Saccharomyces cerevisiae S288C: one gene and its partners. Changing the gene in region 1 together with any one later gene gives a genetic interaction. Each region holds a gene or a part of one and is shown on either strand. Other genes may lie near its edges. The genes, in order: EGD1, POX1, ATG32 and MFB1.

Region 1 (7,117 bases):
ATCTCATAATAGATTTAGCTTTGATGAGCACTTTTCTGATATAGTCTTATCTATGATGGGAAACAATTCTTTATTTCTCTTGACATTTGATTTCTTATGGTGTTGGACTTCTCGCGGGAGAGGCGCACATACACGACTACATGATAATAACATTATTAGAAAAATATATCAACATAAAAGAAGAAACTGATATAATACGTGCAATGTGCTTGTATGTAAATAAGTGTGCATTATATGTTTATTAAAAATTAAGAATTAGATTGATTTAATGTTTCGAAAAAAAAAATATTTAGTCATTTCACCATGTTGGATGGGAATTCGTGTGTTGTTATTGGAATGATTCTTCCTTTTTGGAGAGGAAAATAGTCAAAAGAACACGAAATAATATGAAAAAAATTTTCCATATGAATTTGCATCCAATCAAGCAAAAGATCGGCCTACTTCTGATATGTGGATATGTTTGTTTGTGTGTGTGTGTGTGTGTGTGTGTGATAAAATTGACAGATATGATGCCACTTAGTCTAAAAACTTGTGTGTAAACTTTAAAACTGTAACATCATATCGAAGGTATCAAACAGAGCACAATTGAAGAGGCATTAATTTGATTTTTGTTGACCGTGTTCTTTTATAACGTCTTGGCTTCCTTGGTATCGACAAATTGAAATGAAAATGAGGAATAACAAAAAGGAGATCAATAAGAAAAAAAATCAGATGGATGATGTTTAAAATTACTAACTGCTTTTTTCGTGTTGAGTAGAAACTCTTTGCATAGCAGCCATGAAATCTTCGACACTTCTTGTAGACTTCTTTTCCTTTAATGACTTACCATTCATCAACCTATCAAAGGCTTGAGACGTGGACATAATATAGTAAAATCCTCCCAATACACAAAAAATACCAATGGACCAAATCCAGACACGAACGACTGACACAATATCAGTCCAGTTTTCAGACCACCAGCCAAATAAGGTAAACATGGTAGCAATAATATCAACGGCGAAAACGGCACCGGCTAACTGCCACGATGGAATGGAAGACCAGAATGGGCCAGCAGCTCTAGTGACAAAAATTAACCAATTTTCAGTTAGTGAAATCTGCAGGAACATGACACCATTCATGGCACCAAAATTTTGGATAATACCACCATTAGGCAAGAACATGGTGGTTAAAGTAATCCAAGAACCTATAGCTAAAACTATGCCCAAAATAATAGACATACCCCATAATCTTGGTAGGTTCCATTTCACAGGTTCAGGAGCATAAGGAGCATTGTCATAAGCAATAGTTAAAGTGGCAACGTCTGCGAAAATAGCAATAAAAACGATCAAATTGATATCCAAAGAGTTGTTTAAAATAGCAATCCATAAACCCAGGAAAATCTCCAAATGTAAGGATAGGGCAATACGATAAACAACATAGGAGTACATTCTGTGGAAAATCTGTCTAGAAGTCTTTAAGGCATCAATAATAGCAGAGAGACCAGGGGCCAAGAAAACAATATCAGCGGCTGATCTGGCAGCATCGGTAGCACCTTCGACAGCAATACCAGTATCAGCCTTCTTCAAAGATGGGGCATCGTTAACACCATCACCAGTCATAGCAACCAAGTAACCTCTGTTTTGCAAGATTTCAACGACTCTGTATTTATGCTGTGGGAAAACTTCTGCGAAACCATCGGCATTTTCAACAAAATCAGCCAACTCTGAACCAGGCATATCACCTCCACCTCCCAGACCTAACCTTTCTGCGTTATAAATGTTTGTACCAAGTCCTAATTGCCTACACGTTTCTTTCGCGATACCAACAGCGTCACCGGTTAACATCTTGATTCTCAAACCAAGGTTTCTGGCCTCATTGATTGTTTGAGCGGTGTCATCTCTAGGGGGGTCCATACATGGCATAACACCCAAGATTTCCCAGTGACCTTCCCCTCTCTTTCTAGCAACACCTAAAGCACGGAAACCTCTAGAAGCTAGTTCAGCAACCTTATTTTCGTAGTTTTCATGCACATCTTCCGGAATTGGGTGATCTTCTTCAACAGTCTTCAAGACAAACAATGGGGCTCCCTTGACACAAACAATTCTTTCACCTTCTGGGGATTCTACAACAGCGGTAACCTTTTTTGAGACAGGGTCGAACGGATGGAATTCCAAAACTTTGTACTTGGTCAGGGCGTCTTTAGCTTTTGGATACTCAATCAATGACTTCAAAAAAGCCTTATCAATAGCATCCAAACCTTTCTTCTTTCTAGAGGCAGCTAAACAAGCGGTCAACATCAAGTCGTCCGGAGAAACGCCTTCGACAGTGTAGGGTTCGTGTAAAGATAACTTGTTTTTGGTTAAAGTACCAGTCTTGTCAGAACATAAAATCTCAACACCAGCAAGGGATTCAATAGCAGATAACTTTTGAACAATGGCTTGCTTCTTAGCCAAGTAAGCTGCACCGACAGCCATGGTCGTGGTAACAACTGCTGGCAAACCGACTGGGACACCAATGATGGTTATACCCAAAGTATATCTCAAAATGCTTACAATACCGACCGTTCTATAGAAACATGCGGTCCAGACCAACAACAAAGTAGCGATAACTAGAACAAGTAAGATAATACCAATTCCATTCAATACTTCAGTGAAATGGCCCTCTACACCGGAAGCCTGCCCCACTAAGGCGGCAGCCCTACCGACGAAGGTATTGTCACCAGTGGCAGTAACAACCATAAAAGCCTCGCCGGTTTTCACAGTGGATGAGGAGAACACCTCATCACCGTAATGCTTTTCAGCGGCTAAGGATTCACCAGTGATGGCCGATTGATCGATCTGCAAAAAACAGTCTTCAGTGACAATACGACCATCTGCGGGAGCAATTGTGCCACTTTCCAATTGCAAAATCTCACCAGGAACTACCTCATTAGCCGGAATTTCGATCAATTGGCCATCTCTAATAACTGTTGCAGTATTGGCCAACGTCTTTTTCAGCTCGTCTACGATGGAACCTGCCTGGAATTCTTGAATAAATCCGACAGATGCGTTTAATAGCAGTAAAGCACAGATGACACCGACATCAACCCAATCAGACAAACCGGCAGCCAAAATAGCAGCAGCCTCCATAACGAATTGAATAGGCCCTACGAAGAACATCAAAAACTTCACAATCAACGATTCATTCTCCTCAGCCATTTGATTTAACCCATATTTCTTTCTTCTCCTGGCGACTTCATCCGAAGTCAAACCATACGCAGGGTCCGTAGAAAGGTCCTTTTCAGGAACAACCCTTTGGCCAGCGTGCACCCCATCAGTACGTACTTCTTCTTCACCAGATTCATCACCCTCACCGTAGTTAGATTGTAGTTCATCAATCAATTGGTCTATATCTTCATCTGAGTCAGAATCATCAGCGGCAGAAGCGGCTGCGGCCTTCCGTGGAACGGCTGCAGCCGATGACGAGGCGGAAGTTGATGTAGAAGACGAAGATGACGAAGAAGCGGCAGAATTATTTGCAGGGTCATCGCCATCACTGGCATGGAGGTACTCTTTCGAGGGTTTCTCCTTGTATTGCTTTGCTTCAGTGGAAGACATAACGCAAAACAGTTTCCTTTTGCTTAAATTGTACTAGCACACAGCAACGAAAAATGAAAAAAAAAAAGTTATGGGTATGTTTAAAAAAGCCCAGTAGCTTGGATACAGTAGGTTATCCAGCAAGAAATGCTGGAAGAAATAATAGATGGTAAAAGAGGATATTACACACCTTTATATAACGAAGTACCATCACACCGCCAATTACGTTTAGGGGACGCCGACAAGAAGTAAATTCACTATTATGTACTTACAAATATGTTTCCACCGATAACCTTTCCCCCTTCGACGGTTATTTGAGCAGCGTCTGTCCGCCATTTTTCCAGAGAAGCTACTTCATCAATCAATTGACTTCGCAATTCCCTTAAACAAAAAAAATTTCTTTTGCCCTCCCTCGACGATTTTGGAGTAGAGAATACCTTAGGCCTTTTTTTTTCTTTTTTCTCACGGCTGCTCTTCCTCTTTTTCGCATATTCTATTTTATCATCGACTTCCCTAATTCGCACTCGTACCAAAATGTTAAGCAGTATGGCGAAGAACGTGGCGCGCTGGAGTCGTGAATGTTTGGGTCCTTGATGATGGACTACGGTAGTAAGTATGTAGTAGTTGCAACTTCATATGTTCACTTCTGATCCAAGGAAGAGCGGTTATGAATTAATCTCTTGGCATGAGCGGACGGGTAAGGGGACACCGCCTTTTCTTCGATGGGAATCAGGGTAATGGTATATGATGGATTATTGTGGAATCATTTAGTACGGCAGATGTTGAAAAAAAAAGCAGAAAATTTTTGAATTTTTTTCGTTGACATTGGAAGATTTCGTAGTGGAAACAGCTGCAATTGCTTGTTAAGTAGTAACCCCTCCTTTGTCACAAGAGAGCGAATATTCTTTCTAGGGAGGTTTAAGAATAGAACATCTCACACCAGACGCGACTCATAATTCATAATGCCAATTGACCAAGAAAAATTAGCTAAGCTACAAAAGTTGTCTGCTAACAACAAAGTTGGTGGTACTAGAAGAAAGCTTAACAAGAAGGCAGGCTCTTCTGCCGGTGCCAACAAGGATGACACCAAGTTGCAAAGTCAATTAGCTAAGTTGCACGCTGTCACCATTGACAACGTCGCCGAAGCCAACTTTTTCAAGGACGACGGTAAGGTCATGCACTTCAACAAGGTCGGTGTCCAAGTTGCTGCTCAACACAACACTTCTGTATTCTACGGTCTACCACAGGAAAAGAACTTGCAAGATTTGTTCCCAGGTATTATCTCTCAATTGGGCCCTGAAGCCATCCAAGCCTTGTCTCAATTGGCTGCCCAAATGGAAAAGCACGAAGCCAAGGCTCCAGCTGATGCTGAAAAGAAGGATGAAGCTATTCCAGAGTTAGTTGAAGGTCAAACTTTTGATGCTGACGTCGAATAAATAACTTAATCTTTAATTTTAACGTTAAATAAAAAAACACATATTTTGTTCCATTTTTTTTCATTTTTTTTAGCATATCTAAAGCATATAATACAAACACTGTTTTCTGCAAAAAAAAAAAAATAAAAAATAAAATATAAAAAAACAATATACCACACTATGCTGCACACGTGAAATGATGAACTTGTACGTCACCACTTTGTGCGCAAAAAATTGGCAAAAGTAGAGAACATGTCACTAACTGTATCGGAATATTACAACGTTTTTTTATTCTACTTATCTCAATGGCTAAAGTATATATCTATCTATATATGTATGTGTAGGTGTGCTGATGGAGACAAATACGTTTTCCTCTAGCCTTACAACAGGCCGGTACCATTCTTTATCGCATCCTTGATGAGCTCATCTACATCAACGTCTGAACCTTCACTTAGTTTCTTTCTGTTTCTTTGACAGGTCAGTGTGTTAGAATGTCTTTTTAGAGCATCCTTCCTGGCAAACCCTTTGCCACAGTTTGAGCAAATATGCGGCAGCACGAGTGAGTGTACCTTTTCATGTCTTCTCAGATCAGAACTTCTGCTGAATTTCAACTGACATTTCGCACAGCTGTAGAGCTGTGCGCCTTCCTTGCTATGGTTGTTACCTCCTGTTCTTTTTGTTTGTGTTTCTGGAATCCTTATAAGACCTCTAGCCATATTTTCCGGCTCCCCAGCCTTTAAAACATTTTCTGGTGCTGGTATAACTGCGCTCAATGGGCTGGATTGTCGAATTCTGTGGAGTAGCTCTCGTATTATGGGGTCCGTATGAGTGGGACTTGATGAGATTACCGCTATAGCTTCTGCCGCTTGTTTGAGAAATATTTCATCTACATTCATGTCTTGCGCCAGTTTCATATGCACATATAGACTATCGACTGTGTATATTGAGCCCAACTTGTTAATGATCAAATCTCTTTACGTACTGAGGAACGGCTTTTTCTTTTTCTTACCCATGTTATATTTTGCATTAGAACAAAAAAAAAATTGATGGGCTAGCAAAATTTTTAGACTAAAATTTAGAGGCAAGATATGGTTCTGTAAGACTCGAAAAAATTCTCATAATATATACTTGCTTGTGTGAAAGTGTTCTTTTGTTTTGTTTTTTTTTCTTGTGTATAATTATACATGTTTTTTTTGCCTTTTGTACTCAAGAAATCATAAATGGAAATAAAAATGACCCTTGAATGATGAACAAAACGACAAACCATACTTTATTAAACTATCCTAAAAGCTTCTTGTACTAACTTTTTACCCATTTTGTTAAACTCCTGTAATTCTGTCACCAAAACATATCCGTTACTTTGACCCGACCATTCACCAGAGTCACTTACTTGGGTGGGTTCGATCCCACACTCAATTAATGATCTAGAATGCAAACCATTTGGTGTGTCTGGGATAAACGTAGTTTGTCGATATGTATCGGCATCAGCCCCCATGCTATGCGTTTCTTCATGTTCCGACCGCCTATCTTGGCCTTCCCCATCGGAATGGCTATGAAGCGAGTATGCCCTTGTATGTACATGTAGATCATCAGCTGACCTATTGGTAGAGAAAAAAGGTGATGCTGATGAATTGGAGTTCATAAAAGAACTTCTGAGGAAGTACGAATGTTGTTCACGTCGAGATAACATTTGCCTGCGTTGTTGTCTACTCCGCCGAATAAGTACAGGCCTCACAATAGAACAACAATTTATCACTTCTTCCAGTGGCAAGCCTGTTATCTGGGAATAGAGATGATAGGTTTCATCCCTCGTGGTAATCCTGTCGCGGTCATCGCCTACAACATTTGGCACACTTAAGATGAAAGCAGCTACAAATAGTTTGTGTAAGCTGAACTTTAAAAACTTCATGTAGTTAGTTTCCTTCGAGCAGCAATCTAGAAACTTGATGACAATGCAACAGACCTTTTTGAACTGTAAATGCGATGATTTGGCTCTGTGTAGGATTATTTCTAAAAATTTGGTTGTTTTCAAATGATTTGTGCCAATAATTGCATTGTCATCATCACTAGGCATGGTAACTAATAGGCTCGCATACCGCTGCATAATCCCCTTAGTCACTTGCGCTATCATGAACTTTTTCAATACCA
Region 2 (8,623 bases), on another chromosome or scaffold:
ACAAGAAGAGGAAGAGGTAGAAGAATTTGCAGAAGAGATTTCAATGTATAAACACAAAGCGGTAGTAGTTACCATCGTTACATTTTTGATAGTGGTTTTAGGAGTTTATGCGTATGATAGAAGAGTGAGGAGAAAAGCGCGTCACACAATTTTAGTTGATCCAAATAATAGACAACATGACAGTCCCAATAAGACAGTTTCATGGGCAGATGATCTGGAAAGCGGACTCGGGGCAGAAGATGATTTAGAACAAGATGAGCAGTTAGAAGGCGGAGCACCCATAAGTAGCACTTCTAACAAAGCAGGATCTAAATTGAAAACTAAGAAAAAGAAGAAGTATACTAGCCTTCCGAACACTGAAATCGATGAATCTTTTGAGATGACTGATTTTTAACTTGGCAAATAAAAATATATAAAAAATACAGAAAAATAGTTATAATACCTCGCACACGCTTTTCGTAGTAACAGCGACATAAAGATAAATTCTTTAAAGGGTACAATCCATCAAGAACTGACTGTTTTATTTAATTCACACTACTGAACTTCATATTAAAGTGTCGTCATTTAAGTCTAGTAGGTTATATTAATCGCGCACAATAGTTTTTTTTTATGCAAACTGTATCACGAATATTTTTTCAGTTTTCGGACCATTTTTTGACATTTTTAACCAGTTTTTAACATTTTTATGGTAGCGTTCTTTTATTTTTCACGTAATTGCATTGAAATAGACATAAACGTATAAAATAATATACAAGTAATTAGAGCTTTTGAACGAGATTGTTTAGTGGTTGTTTTAACTCCTTCACAGAAGTTGAAAACTTCAACGCATTCATAGCCCCACATATCAACACAAATCCCTGGAAATGAATGGAACTGATATCCTTCGTTTTTTGCAATCTTCCCCCACCATTAGTTACAGCAAACATTTTATACTTATAACAGCATGCCCTCTGTTTGTATTAGGACTATTATTGTTAGGTCTTAGAACAGCAATGTTCAAACAAGTAAGAGGTAAAACGACAACAAGTAGAAATAGAGGTGTCATTGCGGCAAAGTTATTAGTTGCATGGTATCTTGCCACCATAGTTATGTATATTGCTAAAAGCGAAATGTGGAAATATGCCTTTGCTGTTTCGCTACTTCTTAATAGTTTGGCACTATTTTTTTGAAAAAATGGAATCGATATTTCTGCATATTAATATCACCATCATTTCTCCTCCCTTATATGTTCCATTACCCTATTACATTATAAATCCTTGTATTTCTGCTTCCTCTACCTTCGATGAAAGCTTCTCATACCTTATGTCATCTTCTAACACCGTATATGATAATATATTGGTAGTGTGACTACTAGTTGATAAACTGTTGGAATAAAAATCAACTATCATCTACTAACTAGTATTTACGTTACTAGTATATTATGATATTCGGTGTTAGAAGATGACGCAAATGATGAGAAATAGTCATCTAAATTAGTGGAAGCTGAAACGCAAGGATTGATAATGTAATAGGATCAATGAATATTAACATATAAAACGATGATGATAATATTTATAGAATTGTGTAGAATTGCAGACTCCCTTTTATGGATTCCTAAATCCTGGAGGAGAACTTCTAGTATATCTACATACCTAATATTATTGTGTTGATAATTAGAGGTTAAAAATTAGTATTAATGAAGAAGTGAGTACTGATCTTCTTATACTAAATAAGAGAGGTATATAAAACACACGCCGATTGGTCATATTAATCATGACCAATATAATAGTGATTCCGGTAGTTACTATACATTGATGTGACGACTCATATTCCTCATATATGTACCTACCATATCATGTTCAGCTAATAGGTCTTTAACACAGCTTCAGTATTGTCTGAGCTTCTCGTTTAACATTCCTTCTGCAATAGGCGCAATCACACTTAAACGTATACGATGTGTACATTAATATACGATGTAAGCATTAGATTGTTACCATAGCAACTCATGTCACTATTAATTACTCTCGTTCCAACATATTGCCTTATTAAAAATGGAATCCCAACAATTACATCAGAATCCACACAATCATCATGATGTTTTAGAGCTTCATTCCAACAAGTGCCAACACAGCACATTTATTATTTGTTATGTATATAATTCTGAGATATTGAGTAAACACTCAATAATTACCTGCCATCTTAGTATAGTGGTTAGTACACATCGTTGTGGCCGATGAAACCCTGGTTCGATTCTAGGAGATGGCAATTTTTTTACTACTATACATTGGTAAATGTAGTCATGTCATTGATTCGTCATAGTTATGTGAATAGTATTAGATATGTAAATAGATAGAGAGTACCGTTATGCACATAAGATGGCCTCTCACTAGGATTTTGTAACTTTTTGTTAAAACTTGGCGACACTAGTTGAATTGAAACAAAAGTCGCAAAACAGAGGGTTCGAAGGAAAACAGGAAACCTCTACTCACTTGTTTATTTTCGATAAAATTTCCGCATTAGCTGCACCACCTAACTTTTGGTCAAATTCGAAACCTCTACCGAGCATGCTGCTCAACAGCGCATGATAAGAAGGCTTCCCTGCCCCATCTGCCTCCACTGGATTATTGCGGCAAACTTCATTGAAGTAATTGTGATAGATATCGCCATCAAAGTAACCTATAGGAGAATTTAACATCGCGTCAGGTAATTCAAAGGAGTCTGTCAGACCTATACAGTCTTTCCTCACAATTGGCAAAAGAGCCAATAGTTGTGGCTGCACAACTTTAGAGATCTGATCAGGAGTGAAGATCTTGAATTGTTGGAATTCTCCGGAATGCTTGTCAATAAAATACAAGGAAAATAACTTATAAACATTCCACATAGATTCCTTTGTAATTTCATCGGAAATATGTGAATCACGAGAGTTTAACTTGTCGTAATAGGTTTTCAACATGCAGCGCAAGGCATGAAATTTGGATACTAAGACTAAAAGCTTAGAAACGCTATCAATACTTCTTGATTTTTCAACTAAAGTACCAATATGTGCCAGTAATTTGATTAAGGTGATAGACCAAATTTCAGTATAATCACCCAACTCCTTTAAACCACTCTTTATTTCTCCAGAAACCACAGATCCTATGTACTGAGGTTTTAAGTAAGAGAATGAGTCCACATCCAGTGTGTTGTCAAATCTACCCTTTGTGGCTGAATCGATAAATTTTTTCAATATTGATTTTGCTGAAGTTAAAGATAAAACATTATTATCACCCTCCCATGTGCACTGAACCACCCAGTCGTCATAGCCTTTACCAAATCCGTTATACTGTGAATACCCATGTCCTCCGCAAGTCTGTCTCAACTCATCAATCAGTGTAGCAATTAACCAAGTATTGGTGGCTTTCAAGCTGGCGCTATCAATAAATAAATTCTTCAACTTTTTACTCACGGTAACCAGAGCAGCTTTGTATGCAGATGAGGAAGCGTTGTATAACTCGTCCAAAGTGGAATAATAGTTGTCCATTAACTTAAAAGCTACAGGTGACACCAAATATGGAACACACAATTGTGGTAAAACACGATATTGGTGAAGGGGATAGTCGATTAATTGTGTTTCAGACAATCCCTTTCTAGGTGCGAATTGCTGACGACCAACCGCGTAACGTACAGCAATAGTAGCAAATTTGGAGCCAAACCTAAATGAATCCATGACCATGTTAACTCTACCACTTAACAATGCACTATAACCAGAAATTTGATCCAATTGTGGCTCAGTTTTGACGGTGACTGAACCATCTGGAGAACGGACAACTTTGGTAAATCTACTTAGCATAAATTCTCTAGGGATAACTACGTTTCTGAACTGGATCCAGCCATTATCAATACCGTCACGACCCATCTTCGCTCCAATATCCCCTATGGAAACACCAGCTAACAGTTGGAAAGTCGAAGGGTCTCTCAGAGGAACAACGAATGTTTTTACACCGTAGTCTTTACCTTCAACGATCAATCTGGCGTACACGGCAGCGTGCGTGGCAGAATGGGCAGCCCCACCAATCCACCATTTGGTGGCAGTTAGATCAGGTGTATCAATTACAAAAGTATCATTTTGCTTATCGTACACAGCCCTAGTCTGCAGCTGGGCAACATTGGAACCATGTCCTAACTCAGTCATTGCAAAACAGCCATATATACCTTTCATCAAAGTGGCACCTCTCTCCTGCAACCAATACCGGATTTGCTCATCAGTACCATTGCCCTTGATACAATTACCAAATAGCCCCAAGTGTACACCCACGCGCGTACCCAATTGAGGATCAATATTTGCTACAAGTGACAATCTCTTATCGAATATAAAAAGGTCTTTGTTTGTTAAAGGCGAAGCTTTGTCTGGATCATTTGCTTGCAACTCTTTCATCAGGTCAGTGTCGCGAAAGTGTTTGCGCACTGTTTTGATATCGTGCTCCATATAACTAGCAAGCCTAGCTATTTTTTTGGCAGTAATTTCTCTCTCTTGCATTTTTTTAGCATCGTAATAGTCCGTATCAGTTTTCAATATAGGATCATTCACTATTTGGTCTATTAAGGCGTGCGTCAGAGTTCTCCTCTCCGGGGATGACTCTAAAAATGTGTTAACTTGGTCAACTTTGATTTTCGAATCCGCCCTTTCTTTCTGGATAAATTTTTGAGGATTCAGAACCACCGAATCGGGATTAATAGTAGTACGTCTCGTCATATCGCAATACTAATTTATTATATTTTCTTTTTTTCTGTGATACTTATTAGTGTCAAGTGTGTATTCAAAAACGGAGAGCAATATTAGTGATGATGAGCGGAATGAGGAAAACTTTAAGGCCTGTTCAAGTTGTTTAAATAATTTTTACAGGTTAGACCTTTATAAACACTCTTAAAGCCCCAATGTATTAGTGCTTTGACTTAACAACGCCAACGTTCTCTTGTGTACTTGCTTGTAGGTGATTTACCCCAACGGCTATTAGCCGCTAATGACCGAATTCCTTTCGCTTCGGAGTTTAATCAACTAATACCGTAAATATAGGGCTTAAAATGTGTCAGGGTTTGAACGCAAAAAAAGGAGGTTTATAATAAAATATTAGCACATTATAGGTTTTAAAGTTAAAAAATAATAGGGTTAATTTTATTACCCTACCCCCTTTTTTTGGTCGAGATCTCGCATTTTTCGTCGCTAGGAATAAATACAAAGAGAATTAAGAAAAGTAAAAAGTGGAACTGAAGGAATCTACAGAAATAAGGAGATATTTTGATTAGTTGTTCAGAGTAACTTATTGAAACCTCGACAATCCGGATCAGAGTTGAGAGAGAAAGAAGATATTCAACTATAAAAATAAATTATCACGAAAGTTCTAACCAATGAGTGACCTACCCATTGAATTTACCGAATTGGTCGATCTGATGTCCTTAGGAATTTCCCCTCAATTCCTTGACTTCAGATCAACTACTTTCGAGAGTGACCACTTCGTCACTGTTAGAGAAACAAAGGACGGTACAAACTCTGTTGCAATCGTGGATTTGGCCAAAGGCAATGAAGTGACAAGGAAGAATATGGGCGGTGATTCTGCTATCATGCATCCATCTCAGATGGTTATTTCCGTTAGAGCAAATGGTACTATCGTGCAGATATTTAATTTGGAAACTAAGAGCAAGTTAAAGTCTTTTACTTTAGATGAACCTGTTATTTTTTGGAGGTGGTTGAGTGAAACCACTTTGGGTTTTGTTACCGCAAGATCCATACTGACCTCGAACGTCTTTGATGGTAACGTAAATGCTAAGCCTCAATTGCTTACCTTGAGACACGCTAACTTGAACAATACCCAAATTATCAATTTTGTGGCTAACAAAAACCTTGACTGGTTCGCAGTTGTTGGTATCTTACAAGAAAATGGCCGTATTGCCGGTAGAATTCAATTATTCTCAAAACAACGTAACATCTCCCAAGCTATCGACGGTCATGTTGCTATCTTTACGAATATATTACTAGAGGGTAATGGCTCGACCCCGGTACAAGTTTTCGTTACTGGTAACAGAAATGCCACCACCGGTGCTGGAGAATTAAGAATTATCGAGATTGATCACGATGCTTCATTGCCTTCTCAATATCAAAAGGAAACTACCGATATTTTCTTTCCACCAGATGCAACGAATGATTTCCCAATCGCTGTTCAGGTGTCTGAGAAATACGGCATAATTTACCTATTAACCAAGTATGGCTTCATCCATTTGTACGAATTGGAAACCGGTACCAATTTATTCGTTAATAGAATTACAGCAGAATCTGTTTTTACTGCAGCTCCGTACAATCACGAGAACGGTATTGCATGCATCAATAAAAAAGGTCAAGTTTTAGCAGTAGAGATTTCTACTTCTCAAATCGTTCCATATATCTTGAATAAATTATCTAATGTGGCACTGGCCTTAATCGTTGCTACAAGAGGTGGCTTACCAGGTGCAGATGATTTATTTCAAAAACAGTTTGAATCTTTATTGTTACAAAACGATTATCAAAATGCAGCTAAAGTTGCAGCCTCTTCCACTTCTTTAAGGAACCAAAACACCATCAACAGGTTGAAAAACATTCAAGCACCACCAGGCGCCATTTCTCCTATCCTACTTTACTTTTCAACACTATTGGATAAAGGGAAATTGAATAAAGAGGAAACAATTGAATTGGCTAGACCAGTTCTACAACAAGACAGAAAACAATTGTTCGAAAAATGGTTAAAGGAAGATAAACTAGAATGTTCAGAAGAACTAGGTGACATCGTTAAGCCTTTCGATACTACTTTAGCGCTAGCTTGCTACTTAAGAGCAGGTGCCCATGCAAAAGTTATATCTTGTCTTGCCGAATTACAACAGTTTGAAAAAATTATTCCTTACTGCCAAAAGGTTGGATATCAACCTAACTTTTTAGTGCTGATTTCTTCTTTGATTAGATCATCACCAGACAGAGCTTCTGAATTTGCCGTATCTCTATTACAAAATCCGGAAACTGCTTCTCAGATCGACATAGAAAAAATCGCAGATCTATTCTTTTCCCAAAACCATATCCAACAAGGAACCTCTCTACTTCTAGACGCGTTAAAAGGAGATACCCCAGACCAAGGTCACTTGCAAACTCGTGTTCTTGAAGTCAATCTACTACACGCACCACAAGTTGCTGACGCCATATTGGGAAACAACATCTTTTCTCATTATGACAAACCAACTATTGCTTCCTTATCCGAAAAGGCGGGACTATACCAGAGAGCTTTAGAAAATTACACAGACATCAAAGATATCAAGAGATGCGTTGTCCACACCAATGCATTACCTATCGATTGGTTAGTCGGATACTTTGGTAAGTTGAACGTTGAACAATCTTTGGCGTGCTTAAAAGCTTTAATGGATAACAATATTCAGGCTAACATCCAGACCGTAGTACAGGTGGCAACTAAATTCTCTGATTTGATCGGTCCATCTACTTTGATTAAATTATTCGAAGATTATAATGCTACGGAAGGTTTATACTATTACTTAGCCTCTTTAGTCAACCTAACCGAAGATAAAGATGTGGTTTACAAATACATTGAAGCTGCTGCTAAAATGAAACAATACAGAGAAATTGAAAGAATTGTGAAGGATAACAATGTCTATGATCCAGAAAGAGTCAAGAATTTCTTGAAGGATGCCAATCTAGAAGACCAGTTGCCTCTAGTCATAGTTTGTGACCGTTTCGACTTTGTTCATGAAATGATTTTATATTTGTACAAATCACAGAACTTAAAATTTATTGAAACTTACGTGCAGCAGGTTAACCCTTCAAAGACTGCCCAAGTTGTTGGCGCATTACTTGATATGGACTGTGATGAGGCATTTATTCAAAGTCTGCTACAATCAGTCTTAGGTCAAGTCCCTATTAATGAATTAACTACTGAGGTTGAAAAGAGAAATAGACTAAAAATATTGCTACCTTTCCTAGAACAAAGCTTAAGTCAAGGTATCCAGGATCAAGCTGTTTACAATGCCTTAGCAAAAATTTATATTGATTCCAATAATTCTCCTGAAAAGTTTTTGAAGGAAAACGACCAATATGACACCTTAGACGTTGGTCATTACTGCGAAAAAAGAGATCCCTACCTTGCATATATTGCGTATGAAAAAGGTCAAAATGATGATGACTTGATTAGAATCACTAATGAAAATAGCATGTACAAGTACCAGGCAAGATATTTGTTGGAACGTTCTGATCTCGATTTATGGAACAAAGTTTTGAATCAAGAAAATATTCACAGAAGACAATTAATTGATTCGGTCATCTCCGTTGGTATCCCTGAATTAACTGATCCTGAACCTGTTTCCTTAACTGTTCAAGCATTCATGACCAATGGATTAAAACTGGAACTAATTGAGTTGCTAGAAAAAATCATATTGGAACCTTCTCCTTTCAACGAAAATGTGGCTTTACAAGGGTTGCTATTATTGTCTGCTATTAAGTATGAACCAACTAAGGTTTCAAGCTATATCGAAAAATTAGATAACTACGACGCCGATGAAATTGCTCCATTATGTATTGAACATGATTTGAAGGAGGAAGCTTTTGAAATCTATGACAAACATGAAATGTACGGTAAAG
Region 3 (8,099 bases), on another chromosome or scaffold:
TGTTTGTTTATTTTAGGAAATATTAGTTTTGTGACTATATCATTCCATACGTTATCTTTTTTTCTTTTGGCACTTTCAGTATGGGTAACCCTTGAAATGGTATTTTAACCGCTAATCGCAATAGACTGCTTACATCTTTAACAATACTTAACGGGGCTCTCAACCAGCCCATAATCACGATATTATTTCAATGTTCAGTTATAACCATCTGGCACATAGTACGGTGAATTTCTCTTCAATCCTAACATCAGTAATGCTTTTCGGACCTCCAACCGTCTTTCCTTTGCATTCACAGTCTTTCCCTGACAAGAGCCCTGCTACTATTGACCCTACAGAGACCTTCTTGTGGCGAATTGTTGCTCTTTTTACTTTCTTACTGATGTAAGTTAATTAGAAGGAGTGATATCTGTAAGAGTGGAAATTAAGCGCCCATCTTTTTTATAATGTTGGCTGAACAGATATCCGGGTAAATGTTACTTTAACGAGTTTTTTTCTTTTGTCATATTTTCCAACAAGAGATTAATGAACATTTCTCGATGTAGCGTACATATTTATGTGTACAAGAAGTGGTGTGTGTTGATACTGCACTGTTTTATACAAGTTTTTATACTGCATATCCATATAGAATTGATGAAAATCTTCCATACTGTCGAAGAAGTTGTTCAATGGAGAACACAGGAGCTGAGGGAAACTAGATTTAGAGAAACTATTGGGTTCGTTCCCACAATGGGTTGCCTGCATTCGGGTCACGCTAGTTTGATCTCGCAGTCTGTGAAGGAAAACACCTATACTGTGGTCAGTATATTTGTAAATCCCTCCCAGTTTGCGCCAACGGAAGATCTAGATAACTATCCTCGAACTTTGCCAGACGACATCAAATTGCTTGAGTCGTTGAAGGTGGATGTTCTATTTGCTCCTAATGCACACGTGATGTATCCACAGGGAATTCCGCTCGACATAGAAGAGCAGAAAGGCCCTTTTGTTAGTGTTCTTGGATTGAGTGAAAAATTAGAGGGGAAGACGAGACCTAACTTCTTTAGGGGCGTGGCAACTGTCGTGACTAAACTATTCAATATCGTTATGGCGGATGTGGCTTATTTTGGGCAGAAGGACATTCAACAGTTCATTGTTTTACAGTGTATGGTGGACGAACTGTTTGTTAATACAAGGCTACAAATGATGCCTATTGTAAGAAACAATAATGGACTGGCTCTGAGTAGTAGAAACAAATATCTTTGTCCAGAGTCTTTAAAGATCTCTGAAAACCTTTACCGCGGGCTGAAAGCTGCGGAAAATGCTATTAGGAGACTAGCACCAGGGGGACGTCTCTCCAGATCAGAAATCATCGATACTGTGACTCAAATATGGGCACCCTACGTTGATTCCCACGATTTCAAAATCGACTATGTTTCCTTAGCAGATTTTAAGACTCTTGATGAACTCTCCGATGTTGAAAACACCAGCGAACAGCAGCCAATAGTCATTAGTTGTGCTGTATACGTGACTGACCGCGAAAAACCCGATACGGTCGTCAGACTAATAGATAACATCGTTATTTAAACTAGGTGATTGGGCCTTCCCGTGTCTGTGTTGCAGTATATACCACTCTTATACAGTATGCACGATATTCTTTTAAACCAACAACGGGATGATAGATTTCACGCTTGATGACTTTTTTTTTAGACGGCTGAAGGGACGACATCCCCATCGCTCAAAACACAAATATGGAAAGGACAAATCGTCTTTCACAGTTTGCATAGTAAAAGCAAAGTTTATACTACTTCAGCAAAGTTGAAGTTGTTTGGCACTTGTTTCGTGCTTTCTCAAATATCTTAGATCACCGTCTGTCTAGAGCATATATCTATTGTTTGACGCACCCCTTTTACAAAAAAAAAAAAAAGAAACAGATCTATTAAGTAATAAAAAAGTTATTTAGGAAATAAGGTGCAGTAAGCTTCCTGAGGCATAATCATTATACTTTTAAAATCTATATTTTTGGGTTATTGTTGAAATATTTTCTTACAAAGCCCATTTCTCGTTTTTGACAATTTTTCTTATCAGTTGTGACTTCTCTTATCGATAAGCAATATTGAAGTCCTAATCACAAAAGCAAAAAAAATCTGCCAGGAACAGTAAACATATGGTTTTGGAATACCAACAAAGGGAAGGTAAAGGATCCTCATCTAAAAGCATGCCACCTGATTCCTCGTCAACGACTATTCACACATGCTCTGAAGCACAAACTGGGGAAGACAAAGGCTTACTTGACCCTCATCTATCAGTATTGGAATTGTTGAGTAAGACAGGGCATTCGCCTTCGCCAATGGGACAGAACTTGGTTACGTCCATTGACATATCCGGCAACCACAATGTAAACGATAGTATATCAGGATCGTGGCAAGCCATTCAGCCTTTGGACTTGGGCGCTTCTTTCATCCCAGAAAGGTGCTCTTCTCAAACGACTAATGGAAGTATTCTATCATCTAGTGATACTTCTGAAGAAGAACAAGAGCTGCTTCAAGCGCCTGCTGCTGATATAATAAATATTATTAAACAAGGACAAGAAGGAGCAAATGTCGTTTCACCGTCTCATCCCTTTAAACAGTTACAGAAGATAATATCGCTGCCCTTGCCTGGTAAGGAAAAAACTCCTTTTAACGAGCAAGATGATGATGGTGATGAAGATGAGGCTTTTGAGGAAGATAGTGTGACGATAACAAAAAGCTTGACTTCTTCGACAAACTCTTTTGTTATGCCCAAACTATCACTAACACAAAAGAATCCAGTTTTTCGCCTTCTAATACTGGGAAGGACTGGTTCCAGCTTTTATCAATCAATACCAAAAGAATACCAATCTCTTTTTGAATTACCCAAATATCACGATTCCGCAACATTCCCGCAATATACGGGGATTGTCATAATTTTTCAGGAGCTGAGAGAGATGGTATCTCTGCTAAACAGGATCGTTCAATATTCTCAAGGCAAGCCTGTAATACCGATCTGCCAGCCTGGGCAAGTCATCCAAGTGAAAAACGTCCTGAAGTCATTCTTAAGGAATAAACTTGTTAAATTATTGTTTCCTCCAGTTGTTGTGACCAACAAAAGAGATTTGAAAAAAATGTTTCAAAGATTACAAGATTTATCCTTGGAATACGGAGAAGATGTGAATGAGGAAGATAATGATGACGAAGCTATACATACAAAGTCTCGGTCCTATTGTCGTAACAAAAAAGCCGAAAACTCAAAAAAGAAATCCCCTAAATCGAATAAAAAACCCAAGAGAAAGAAGCAGAAGTTCTTCACGAGCTGGTTCACTTGGGGCATTTCAATTACTATAGGAATTAGTTTTGGATGTTGTGTGACATACTTTGTCACTGCAGCATACGAACACCAAACAGTTAAGTCTTTAAGTTTGCGGCCCTCCATATTGGCCTCTTTACTTTCCTTAGATTCCTCTAGCGACACAATCAATACGCCCGCCACTGCATCTCCTTCTTCAACTGAGCAGTTTTTATGGTTTGATAAGGGTACGCTTCAGATAAACTTCCACTCCGATGGATTCATTATGAAAAGTCTTACCATAATCAAGGAGACTTGGGGCAAAATGAATACTTTTGTCTTGCATGCTCTTTCTAAACCTTTAAAATTTTTGGAGAACCTTAATAAAAGCTCTGAATTTTCCATTGATGAATCTAATCGGATTTTGGCACTGGGTTATATTCTATTGTAACCTTTTTCCAATATACACAAACATACACGTTCCTACTCACTTTTTTACTATCACTTCTGTTTCTCTCACTGCGTATCTATATTCCCCGTTTGGTTCCTTTCCTTAATTACATAGAAGCTTATCAAATATGAAAATTCTTTCATTATACAGGCAATTTTTTGTTTGGTTTCATAAATACATAAACAAACAGCTTATAAAATATTTCTTCTGTTAGCAAATTTAAGTTTCTTTATATATTCCTTACTTTCGCGTCTCAACACAAAAAAACAATTAAAAATCAACCATAGCGCATAGAGCGTATTCCGACGACTTCAAGGAAACTATCGCTGTAAATGTGAATGCATTTAGAAGTTACTATTATCGCCTTTGACATCATATTTGAAATATTCTACCTTCATGTACTTAAACGCCCAAATTACCCGATCTTTTTGCGCCGCGCGTTAATATTTCCTCTTCGCATTTTTTAGTGATTATTACTACATAAATTTGGGATTAATAGTTCATCGAAAACAGCACGAACAAAAGCCAACTCACTACATTTTAGCAGATTCCGTCCGGAGTTTTGATTCTGTCCTTGTTTGTTGTTTTCCATTTCCTACTACGAATTCTATAAAGACAGGTAACAGCAGTGGAGAAGATCTTATAGATCTATCATCCAATTATAATAAGCATAGAATTGAAATAAGAACACGTTGGGTATAATCTACTTTGTTTTGATTTAACAATACAAATGCGATTTGGCCTGCCATCAAAATTGGAACTCACTCCTCCGTTTAGGATAGGCATCCGAACTCAACTAACGGCACTAGTTAGTATAGTGGCTTTGGGCTCACTGATTATTCTGGCTGTAACGACAGGGGTCTATTTTACCTCGAACTATAAAAATTTAAGGTCCGATAGACTGTACATTGCCGCTCAGTTAAAGTCATCACAGATTGACCAAACTCTAAACTACTTATATTACCAGGCGTACTATTTGGCATCAAGAGACGCCCTGCAAAGCTCACTAACAAGTTACGTTGCAGGTAACAAGAGTGCAGATAATTGGGTAGATTCCTTGAGTGTGATTCAAAAATTTTTGAGCTCTTCAAACTTGTTTTATGTTGCTAAAGTTTACGATTCTTCATTTAATGCTGTTTTGAACGCTACGAATAATGGAACTGGTGATCTAATTCCAGAAGATGTTTTAGACAGTTTGTTCCCATTATCCACCGATACACCGCTACCTTCTTCACTGGAAACTATAGGTATATTGACGGATCCAGTACTAAATAGCACCGACTATTTGATGTCTATGTCTTTACCTATTTTTGCCAATCCTTCTATTATCTTGACTGATTCAAGGGTTTACGGATACATTACTATAATAATGTCGGCAGAGGGTCTGAAAAGTGTGTTCAACGATACAACTGCTTTAGAACATTCCACAATTGCCATTATTTCTGCAGTATATAATAGTCAAGGCAAAGCTTCAGGGTATCATTTTGTCTTTCCACCGTATGGATCACGATCAGACCTCCCGCAAAAAGTTTTTTCTATAAAAAATGATACATTCATTAGTAGCGCATTTAGAAACGGGAAGGGAGGGTCTTTGAAACAAACCAATATCCTTTCTACACGGAATACTGCTTTAGGCTATTCACCATGTTCGTTTAACCTAGTTAATTGGGTCGCGATAGTTTCACAGCCTGAGTCGGTTTTCCTTTCTCCAGCAACGAAACTAGCAAAAATCATCACCGGCACTGTCATCGCTATTGGTGTCTTTGTCATTTTGTTAACCCTTCCTCTAGCACACTGGGCAGTGCAACCAATTGTACGTCTACAAAAGGCAACTGAATTAATTACAGAGGGGAGAGGCCTTCGACCGAGCACCCCAAGAACGATAAGCAGAGCCAGTTCATTCAAAAGAGGATTTAGTTCTGGATTTGCTGTTCCTTCTTCGTTATTACAATTTAATACTGCTGAAGCTGGCAGCACCACAAGCGTAAGTGGCCATGGAGGCAGTGGCCATGGCAGTGGTGCAGCTTTTTCAGCAAATAGTAGCATGAAAAGCGCTATAAACCTTGGAAATGAGAAAATGTCACCTCCAGAGGAGGAGAACAAAATACCGAATAACCACACCGATGCTAAAATATCAATGGATGGCTCGCTAAATCACGATTTGCTTGGACCACATTCCTTGAGACATAATGACACTGACAGAAGTTCCAATAGATCTCACATTCTCACAACTTCTGCAAATTTAACTGAAGCTAGGCTACCAGATTATAGAAGACTATTTTCTGATGAACTTTCCGATTTAACAGAAACCTTCAATACTATGACAGACGCATTAGACCAACATTATGCTCTTCTAGAAGAAAGAGTTAGGGCGAGGACAAAACAACTCGAAGCTGCCAAGATTGAGGCAGAGGCCGCAAATGAAGCAAAAACCGTCTTTATTGCCAATATTTCGCACGAATTGAGAACGCCTTTAAATGGTATTCTGGGTATGACGGCTATTTCAATGGAAGAAACCGATGTTAACAAAATAAGAAATAGTTTAAAACTCATTTTTAGATCAGGTGAGCTTTTGCTTCATATTCTAACGGAATTGTTAACTTTTTCCAAAAACGTTCTTCAAAGAACGAAACTGGAGAAAAGAGATTTTTGCATTACCGATGTTGCCTTACAAATAAAATCGATATTTGGTAAAGTTGCAAAGGATCAGCGTGTTCGTCTTTCAATATCATTGTTTCCTAATTTGATAAGGACAATGGTTCTTTGGGGTGATTCCAACAGAATTATTCAAATTGTGATGAATCTAGTGTCCAATGCACTAAAGTTCACCCCTGTAGATGGTACCGTTGATGTAAGAATGAAACTGTTGGGTGAATACGACAAAGAATTAAGCGAGAAGAAGCAATACAAAGAAGTGTATATCAAAAAAGGGACAGAAGTAACCGAAAATTTAGAAACTACAGATAAATACGATCTTCCAACTTTATCGAACCATAGGAAAAGTGTCGATTTAGAATCCAGCGCTACTTCCCTAGGAAGTAATAGAGACACTTCGACAATTCAGGAAGAGATAACAAAAAGAAATACTGTTGCGAATGAAAGTATCTATAAGAAAGTGAATGACAGGGAAAAAGCTTCGAATGATGATGTATCTTCTATAGTATCAACAACTACCAGCTCGTATGATAACGCTATCTTCAATAGTCAGTTCAATAAAGCACCTGGCTCAGATGATGAAGAAGGTGGTAACCTAGGAAGACCTATCGAAAACCCCAAAACGTGGGTTATTTCTATTGAAGTGGAAGACACTGGGCCTGGTATTGACCCTTCCTTACAAGAATCTGTATTTCATCCATTTGTTCAAGGTGATCAAACATTGTCCAGGCAATATGGTGGTACTGGCTTAGGTCTATCAATCTGTAGACAGTTAGCAAATATGATGCATGGAACGATGAAATTAGAGTCGAAAGTAGGTGTTGGTAGTAAATTCACTTTTACCTTGCCATTAAATCAAACTAAAGAGATCAGTTTTGCAGATATGGAGTTTCCTTTTGAGGACGAATTTAATCCTGAGAGTAGAAAGAACAGAAGAGTCAAGTTTAGTGTTGCTAAAAGCATCAAGAGCCGACAATCCACATCATCTGTTGCAACACCAGCTACAAATAGAAGTAGCCTAACCAACGACGTGCTACCGGAGGTAAGAAGTAAAGGTAAGCATGAGACGAAAGATGTTGGAAATCCTAACATGGGAAGAGAAGAAAAAAACGACAATGGAGGGCTTGAACAACTGCAGGAAAAAAATATTAAACCTTCTATATGTCTTACAGGTGCTGAAGTTAACGAACAAAATTCCTTGTCTTCTAAGCATCGTTCTCGACATGAAGGTCTAGGTTCTGTCAATCTTGATAGACCATTTTTGCAAAGTACTGGTACAGCCACATCAAGTAGAAACATCCCCACAGTCAAAGACGACGATAAAAATGAAACAAGTGTCAAAATTTTGGTTGTAGAAGATAATCATGTAAATCAGGAAGTTATCAAAAGAATGTTGAACTTGGAGGGCATTGAAAATATTGAACTGGCTTGCGATGGCCAAGAAGCATTCGACAAAGTTAAAGAATTGACATCTAAGGGCGAAAATTATAATATGATTTTCATGGATGTCCAGATGCCTAAAGTGGATGGTTTACTTTCTACCAAGATGATAAGGCGCGATTTAGGTTATACCTCACCTATTGTCGCTCTAACCGCTTTTGCTGACGATAGCAACATTAAAGAATGTTTGGAATCAGGAATGAACGGATTTTTATCGAAACCAATCAAAAGACCAAAATTGAAAACTATTCTTACTGAGTTTTGTGCAGCATAT
Region 4 (8,148 bases), on another chromosome or scaffold:
GACAACTGCAGTCCTTTCTTGTAACCCTTGCGACGTCTTAACTCATCTCTGCTGAGAGTATGTTGTTCAAGAGCTGAGTGATCTTTCATTGGGAACATTTGATTATTTACTGACTTTATGTACGTATAGTAGCTCTTTTTTTGTATCGATTTATAAAAATGCCTGTTCTTACTATTCTTATGGGAATGACACAAAATGTAGACGCATGTCTTTTTCAGGCGTCCTTAATATGAGCGATCAAATTTCGCATCAAAAAAACTTTATTGAAGTTAGAATATATGAAAAAAAGCCACGAAATTTCTAAAGGCAACCACAAATTGTCTTATTATTGATAGAATATAAAAAATAAGTCATTTATTTATATGTACATCTGTGCAAATGGTAGCGGCGCTCTTTAACTGTTTCTACATACCATGCATGCTTGTCTAAAACCATTTCGAAGTTCCGTTGCTAATTCAGAGAAAACTCTTCCAAGCAAAGTCGGTTTGAGGCGTTTTCTGTTATATATTAAAATCGGTATTAGCGTCAAGCCGTTTGATTACATGATCATTCGTATTCGACCCACTAGGGTTATCCAATTCGATTTTGCGATAGCATATCTTATTACCGTCTGTAACAACCGCCTTTAATTTGCTTCTTTGATGAGGTTTGGATAATTCTATTACTGGGGAAGTGTGACTTCTTTGAAATTTATTTTCATCATTTTTCTCTGTTATTCCTTTACAGTTCGAGCTATTTTCTTTTATAATTAATTGTTCATAATTTGCTATCTTTGTACTGTTGACTCTTTTAATTGCTAGAGGATTAGTTGTTTCACCGTTAAAATCGGGATAATGCCTTTCAATCTCCTCTAAATAACCTCTTGAGACGCTCCTTCTGCCAACTTTCGGTAGTATGTCAGAAGGGGGACTTATGATTTTCCTAAAATCTTCGTCATTAGCACTTAACGAACTGGATAATTTCAATCTTGGATTGTCCTTTTTCTTTGTTTTTAATGGTCTGCTATCTCTAAAAATTAACTTCTCAAAAAGTTCGGCTTTATCCTTGACTTTATTAGATTTTCTCAATCTTGTGATTGAGTCAGACGATTCAGTAGATGTAGGCGTCATCTCTTTATAATCAGGATCTCGTGACTTAGTGAAATCCATTGTAATATTATTCCAATCATCGTCCAGTAGTTTGGGCGATGAACTTGAAAATACAGAATTTGTTGAACTTCTAGAATAATTAGAAAATGTCGGAGAAGGGATAAAAGGTGGCTTTTTGACTAAGTCTTCTTCAAATGTTGTATTTTTTTCCAATCCGTGGAGAGAATGTATTTCTCCATTATTCTCCTCTATGTATGTATCATCAGAATCCGCTGAATGGGTCCTAAATGCTTTATCATTGAGTTCGATGAATTGATTCATTCCTTGTAGTATTGCAGTATGAGCGATTTGCTCCCTTGTTATTTCTGTAGGTTCGTTCAAATCCATATTTAAATCTTTCACAGAGCCCTTTTCTTTGCTCTCAACTTCATTTGTTCTATAACTTATTGTCTTTCTAGCCGGATCAATAACGCCTAGTTTATATTTCCGCTGAACATTTCTTAATGATGCGACCAGGGATATGTTGTGACTATTTAAGGTTTTCATTGCCTTTCTATTAAAATTCAAAACATCAAAGACATCAACAAGAACATTTTTTGTCCACCACATATTCCCGTTTGAGCCGATAACAGCATTTCTGTAAACAATGTTCTCATTCGCCAGCATCCTTAGCAAGGTGCAAGTTTTCCCTATGTTTTGTAAATCATTCATATCCAGGTGAGACAATATTCGGAACAATAGGTTTAATGGTAAGTTTGTCAGGGACCTTTCCTCCAGCGGCATCTGTACACTACAAGAAAATAATGTCATCTATGTGGTTGAAGGAACTATAACTAATTCTGGAACAAAAGTGAACTTTCCTTGTGCAGTTTGGCCAATTTGTTTTGATATTTTGTATGAGGATATTTAGCAAGTAGTAACAGAGACTCCTTGGTTATTTGAAAACTTTCCCTTTGTTTAAACTATAGCAAAGTATAACTTTCCTTTTCCTATTTTGTGAAAAAGTAAGTAAATATTGTTATCTCCTCCCAACTGGTTAAATACTGGGTAGGTGCACAAGCGTTTATAGTTTCTAAGAAGACAGCACCAGGAATAATGATAAACAGTTGTTTGGGTCAAAACAAAACGGGTATTGCCAATGCCTTTTAAAATACTTACCCGGCCATAAAATGAATAATAATAGTGTATGAAGACTGTGTTGGAAGATGTTATGGTAGAAGCAGAGGCTTCCGCACTGCATTTAAGAAGCATAAAGGCACTTCTGCTATTTCATTAAGAAGATTCGCTATGGTGAGCATGTTCTCATTATTTCTGCTATTAATTGAGCAATCGCCGCTTGTAGCGTCATTGCAACAAAGTCAACGGCATATAGTGGGTGTTCCCTGGGAAAAGCAGCACTTGTATGACTCGAATGAACCAGATTTGACTAAATGGCACTGTTTGAACCACGAAGATATCGTATTGGATATAAGCCAGATTAATGATGGGGTTTGTGATTGTCCTGATGGTTCAGATGAGCCCGGCAGCGCCGCCTGCGTGGAAGATATATTCAAAAGCGTTGCAGAGGGAGGTGGTAAAGTGAATAAGTATTTTTATTGTGATAACAAGGGGTTTATTCCAAGATATATACGAAAATCGGAAGTCGCAGATGGTATTTGTGACTGCTGTGACTGTTCTGACGAGCTACTTTCTGGATATGAGCTCTTTGATGCTGGATCTAATTGTTCTCAGTTAAAAAACGAATTTGACATTATGGCCTCTAAAGAGTTATCAAGTTACCGGGAAGGTAAAGAGGCCCTAGAAGAACTGGAAAGAAAATACGGTACAAAGGAAGAGGCTATCACCCGTGGTAATTGCTTAGAAGAAGATAAGGAAAAAGCTTCTGCCGAGATAAAAGTACTCTCCAACAGGCTCTCAGAAAATCGAGCCAAATTAGAGCAGTTGAGAGGCGAGTACTTTAACCAATTAAGCCATGATCCCATTTTGTATCAATTTGAACAATTAAACAGTACTCGTTTGGGATCGGACATCCTTACATCGTTCACTATGGTTTCAAGAGTAAGTAAAGGTTACCAGGACATATTCAAGATTTTAAGTGATTTATCAGAGGCCTATACTCCCTCGCTAAATGATAAAGTTGTCAATGATAATATTAAAAAATTCAGAAAAGTTAGAAGACGGGCTGAAAAGGCTAAAATTAATGCAGATAGCAAAATTGATGATGAGCAGGCAGATAATCTTTACTTGTACTTTACAGAAGAAGTACCTCAAATTTTTTTGAAAAGAGAATCTGAGAACACGTTGAGGTACGTCATAGGAAAATCCAATTTTGTTCAAGCGCTAGTGGAGGGTAAAATTAACTATACCAACGATATCTTGGAGTATATCAGAGAATTCCGTTTGATTATGGATGATATTTCTCAGAATTACAATGTTAACTTTCAAGATGCAGGGGTCAAAAGTGCTGTCGATTCGTATAAAAACTACCTAGGTGAATACGGCGAACTGGCTGAATTAGAACCAGCTCACCCGTCAGAGAGCCTTTTGAGATCGTTGAGCGAAGTAACATCATTTGTGAACGAGAATGCACCAAAGGTATTGCCACCAGACGCTGTTGAGTCAGAACAAGATACGAACAGCGATCATATCGGTACTTCTGGAGATTTGCGCAATAAACTCAAAGAGATTCTATCTAAGCTGAATATTTTTTCATCTAGAAAAGATTTGGTCTCATTAGAGAAGAGATTCCGCTCTTGTGAAAGTCAAGTCAGTCTCCTGGAGAATGAATTAAAGCAAAAAATGGACTATAAGAAATTATTAGATGAAACTGAAGATGAAGGAACTAATTCTACTGCAGGAAATCTGACTGAGCTTTTAGAACTAATGGGATCACAATCCTATTGTCTTGACGACATACTGGACAACTATGTGTACACTATATGCTTTCAACGTCCAATGACCGAAGGTGTCATATATCAAGCTGAGGATAAGGTTGACGGTAAAAAAGTTTTGATCGGTCGTTTTAAGACATCAGGTTTTAATGTTGACTTAAACATGGAAAAATACGCAGAACATTTAAAGGCCACATATGATGAGAAGAGTGATTTGATTTCAAACTTAGCAGCTATACAGGACGATGACGGTAACATGCAACATTACGTATTCGGGAACTTAAACGAACTGAATAATGGTCTGGTACTAGAATACGAAAATGGAGACCAGTGCTGGAATGGTCCGCGCAGATCGGCTACTGTATTTGTTCGGTGCAGCGACAAATTCAAGATTCGGAGTGTACATGAAGCGACTAAGTGCAACTACATCTTCGATGTCGTTGGTCCTCTAGGCTGCAACAAGACTTTCGAATACGAGCCCCCTAAGTTCAATTTAAGTGAATGACTGGAAAATGAGTAGTTAGGCTTTTTTAGTAAGTAAACAACTAGGAAGGCCGATGCTGTGCCGTGATACTCTTTTCCGCAACAAAAGCAATATTTCCCTCGGCCAAAACGCGAAAAGACGATAAATAAGTATATCGTTCCAAATACTGATAGTTCTGTACGACCTGTTGGAATAACGCGAAAAGAAGGGTACGGCGTAATCACCCCACACGGCTTGTATTTTTTTCGGAGAACTAAGTCATAGACGTAATGCTAATTTTTCCGTCTAGCCGATGTTTATGCGGCTTTTATTTTTTTTTTTTTTTTTTTCTCATCTTTGTTCTTCCGGTTTCCAAGATGTCTCACAGATTATTACAGTGAATTCCAAAATCATGTTTACTACTGGAATTTGTATGCATATGTTTTGGCAATCTTAAGCCTACGGATTTTAAATGTGATGGATATAACGAACAGTGTTTACTGGAGACTCACTTCTCTGGGCTTGAGTTTACGATGTATAGTCATATAAAAATGAAGAAATTTCTTGAGTGACAATTGCCGCCGTACTTCGTATTGTCTTTTCTTGACAGTGAGGGCGTATAAGATACATCGTACATACATAGAGACTCATTTAGTGATGCTTGAATCGAGCAGTGATAAGATAAAGTTTGCGCCTATTAAAGAGGTAGATTACAAAAAACCGGTAAGTAAGAGTAAGAACTATACTCTTATTAATGACATCCAACCATTGGAGTGGTATTGTCACAATGATAGTGAAACGGGCTACCAACACACCATAAGTAACAAGACAGATGGTGGTAGAGGTTTATTCAGAGTGATGAAAAAATCGATGGAGACCAGAGTCGAGACCCAAACGTTATATTTCACAGATTTGCATACAGGCTTGTGTGGATTTGTTCAATTACTGTATTCTACGGTTATGGGTGGTATCTATAAAGGCTTCCAATTGAATTTCAAGGTTTTTGGCTCAGAAAGTAATAATACTGACTACGACGTTTGGGAAAGTTTTAAATTGGATGACATAGCTGAATTTCAACCATTAAAGTTTGTCTCTAGAAATGTTATTTTTGAATTTTTGAGCAACAAAAATGAAAAATTAGGTTCCATTGGCCAGTTATCTATCAAATGTGATTTACCAACATGTAACAATACAATTCAAAATTTGAAAATCGATTTGTTGGTGGATTTGTTTCAAGGTTTTAAGATGAACCCCAACGGTTGCAATTATTATTTTGACAAACAAATCTCGATGAGTGACGAATTCGTTTCCTCAGACAAAATGATCAGACATGTTTTTGTGCCCAGAGGTAAATGTAATGGTAATATTTCCTACGATAAAAAACTCAATAGTGGGGACTTTCAAAATAAAAATATTTCATTAACTGATGTTCCTGTCGTTTATCTGGACGCTGTTCAAGGTCTTTTGCCGAATAAAGCAGCCAGTAAATGGAATTTCCTATGTTTTCAGAGCGAAAACTACTCTGTTTTAGCAATTGAATTCACTACTCCTCGAGATCATGATAACGTCACCGTAACAGTTTGGTCAATTACTGAAAAAAACAAACTGATATCTATTGGTTCTTCTGTGCAGAGCCCAAAACGTCATGTTAGGTTCCGTGCTACGAGTACAGATAAGGAAAGCGGCTGGGTATATCCAACCTCTATCAAGTTCCCCGGTGGATTTTCAGAACACGACTTGAGGCTGGTTAATCGATACGACGTTCTCGGTGAGTTACCAAGCATGGTCAGGTCGTTAGCTCAGAAAATTGTGAGCATCAAACCTTTCATTTATCAATACTGTCAACCTTCTAAATATAAGCACGAGAAAGGTATTTCTATCGTTGAGAGCACCTTCATTAGTTGAACAAAAGCGTGAACACTTCCACATGAAATTCGTTTTTTGTCCTTTTTTTTCTCTTCTTTTTCTCTCCTGTTTCTTCTACCAACTTTACCTAATAATTAATGTGTAATCGAATTTTTTTACATAATCACTACCTAATAACTAATTTATCATCACTTTTTTTTTTCATTTTGAGGCCACACTTTCCCCCATGGACTATTGCATCATTGCGCCATGCTTCTTACTTGCGTAAGCCATAGAACGGAAATATCATGTTCCCCTTGCCGCATGCATATTGAAAACATCACGGGAACGAGAAGAATGGCATTTTCGAAATAAAAAGAAATCATATTTCAAATGTTGGGGAGAGAAAGCAAAGGGGAATCAATAATCATTAAGGGAAGTCGATGAAAGTTTCCTTTTCCGAACTCTACCTCGCCTTATATAAAACCTTGGTCTAAACGGATAAACCGAGATGTAGTTGAGTTTGTGAATCCAGTTCTTGTCCTTCTTCCTCTTTCAAAAAGTGAAGCAATCAGTTGAGAGTGTAGCTATAGAGGTGTGTACTCTAGAAATCAGACTTTCATAGCAAGCAGACTTTTTTTTTGTTGAATCTTACTAGCGGATTTTTTAGAGTTTTCTTCTTCGGACTAATCTGTCAATGGTTCCAGTAAGATTAATGAGTCAAAAGCCCTCTATAATTGTATCGAGAAATTTCTTAAAAGAAGGAATATAATTATTGCGGTCACTAGAAAGTTATAAGAAGGTTACCATTTAACTGAACAGCAGCGGTATAGTACGGAATAAAAAAGTCTTTTAAAATGTTGCTTAGTGCGCCTGTTAACAGTACCGTGCGGCGCAAGCCACACAGTCCAAATAAAAAAAAGCCAAAAGAGACAGGTACAGCTGCTTCCTTTTCGTCGTCCTCTTCAACTGTCGTCCTTTCATCCAATAATGATGGCAGCTTTGATGCTCTTTGGGACCCCTCTATAAGTAAGGCCTCGGATTTTGAGAGTAGCTATATTAGTGCTAAACGATTAAAACCAGAAAGTAGTAATAGACAGAAAAAAAAAAATTCTTATAAATATTCTAGGGAGGAAAACACCAACGAGGTAGAGGAAAAGACGTCTCTTGGCAGCAGCTCTAAGACAGAAGCAGATAATATATTTAATGACCAGCTCACGTCAGCTGGCAATACTACATATGTCAGTAATAAGCGCGATGTAAACTTCGGGGCGAATTCGGCTGTAGTACTGCTCGGTTTGCCAACAAGTAAAAGTGAATCTCACCGACAATACCACAGTCCTTCGGCTTCAACAACTAATGAAGATGAAGAGGACATTGGTGTTGATATTTTAGTAGACAACCACATCGATAGTTGCGAAACAGTATCGATAAATAATAATAGAGGTATTACACACCAATATCCAGAAACGGAATCAGATGTCGACTTTGATGAGGCCGTGATATTGACACCAATGGATGGTACGGATAAGGGAGTGAAAAATCCAAGACCACTCGAAAAAAAATATAGTAGCAGTTGTTTTGAGGACCGTACGCCCCTTAACTTGGATGATGGTCATTTCAGTGAATGCAATCATTTTTCTACATTAGATGTGTCTAGCTTTTTTCATCTCAACGAGCATGTGCATAAAATCGACGAAGTAGAGCTCGATGGACCTGATCGCACCTTTAGTCTAGACAACGTCGCTATTAATACAAGGAAAAAGGATATTGATTGCCTCTATAATAGTTCAAGAGAAGACTTATCCAACCTCACATGTTCTTCGGAAGGCCCAAGGAATGATAGTTATGATAGTGATTA

Evidence for each region.
Region 2: mutations in EGD1 (region 1) and POX1 together harm fitness more than expected from each alone (negative genetic interaction), as found in Saccharomyces cerevisiae (2 studies listed by BioGRID).
Region 3: of EGD1 (region 1) and ATG32, changing one suppresses a phenotype caused by changing the other (phenotypic suppression), as found in Saccharomyces cerevisiae (one study listed by BioGRID).
Region 4: mutations in EGD1 (region 1) and MFB1 together harm fitness more than expected from each alone (negative genetic interaction), as found in Saccharomyces cerevisiae (2 studies listed by BioGRID).

What each region holds. Positions count from the first base shown.
Region 1 is NC_001148.4:479,301-486,417, reverse strand, and holds EGD1 (Egd1p), read left to right. Parts: upstream 1-4,516; coding exon 4,517-4,990; downstream 4,991-7,117. Other genes in the region: H(+)-exporting P2-type ATPase PMA2, read right to left, coding at 732-3,575; MET31 (Met31p), read right to left, coding at 5,350-5,883; YPL038W-A (uncharacterized protein), read right to left, coding at 6,045-6,236; YPL039W (uncharacterized protein), read right to left, coding at 6,243-7,117. UniProt on the Saccharomyces cerevisiae protein: Component of the nascent polypeptide-associated complex (NAC), a dynamic component of the ribosomal exit tunnel, protecting the emerging polypeptides from interaction with other cytoplasmic proteins to ensure appropriate nascent protein targeting.
Region 2 is NC_001139.9:104,246-112,868, reverse strand, and holds POX1 (acyl-CoA oxidase), read right to left. Parts: upstream 4,712-8,623; coding exon 2,465-4,711; downstream 1-2,464. Other genes in the region: KEX1 (serine-type carboxypeptidase), read left to right, coding at 1-394; YGL204C (uncharacterized protein), read left to right, coding at 864-1,169; CHC1 (clathrin heavy chain), read left to right, coding at 5,365-8,623.
Region 3 is NC_001141.2:69,815-77,913, reverse strand, and holds ATG32 (mitophagy protein ATG32), read left to right. Parts: upstream 1-2,140; coding exon 2,141-3,730; downstream 3,731-8,099. Other genes in the region: pantoate--beta-alanine ligase PAN6, read left to right, coding at 631-1,560; SLN1 (histidine kinase), read left to right, coding at 4,461-8,099. UniProt on the Saccharomyces cerevisiae protein: Mitophagy-specific receptor that recruits the autophagic machinery to mitochondria and regulates selective degradation of mitochondria.
Region 4 is NC_001136.10:904,955-913,102, forward strand, and holds MFB1 (Mfb1p), read right to left. Parts: upstream 1,899-8,148; coding exon 501-1,898; downstream 1-500. Other genes in the region: septin SPR28, read right to left, coding at 1-98; GTB1 (Gtb1p), read left to right, coding at 2,376-4,484; YDR222W (uncharacterized protein), read left to right, coding at 5,100-6,347; CRF1 (Crf1p), read left to right, coding at 7,145-8,148.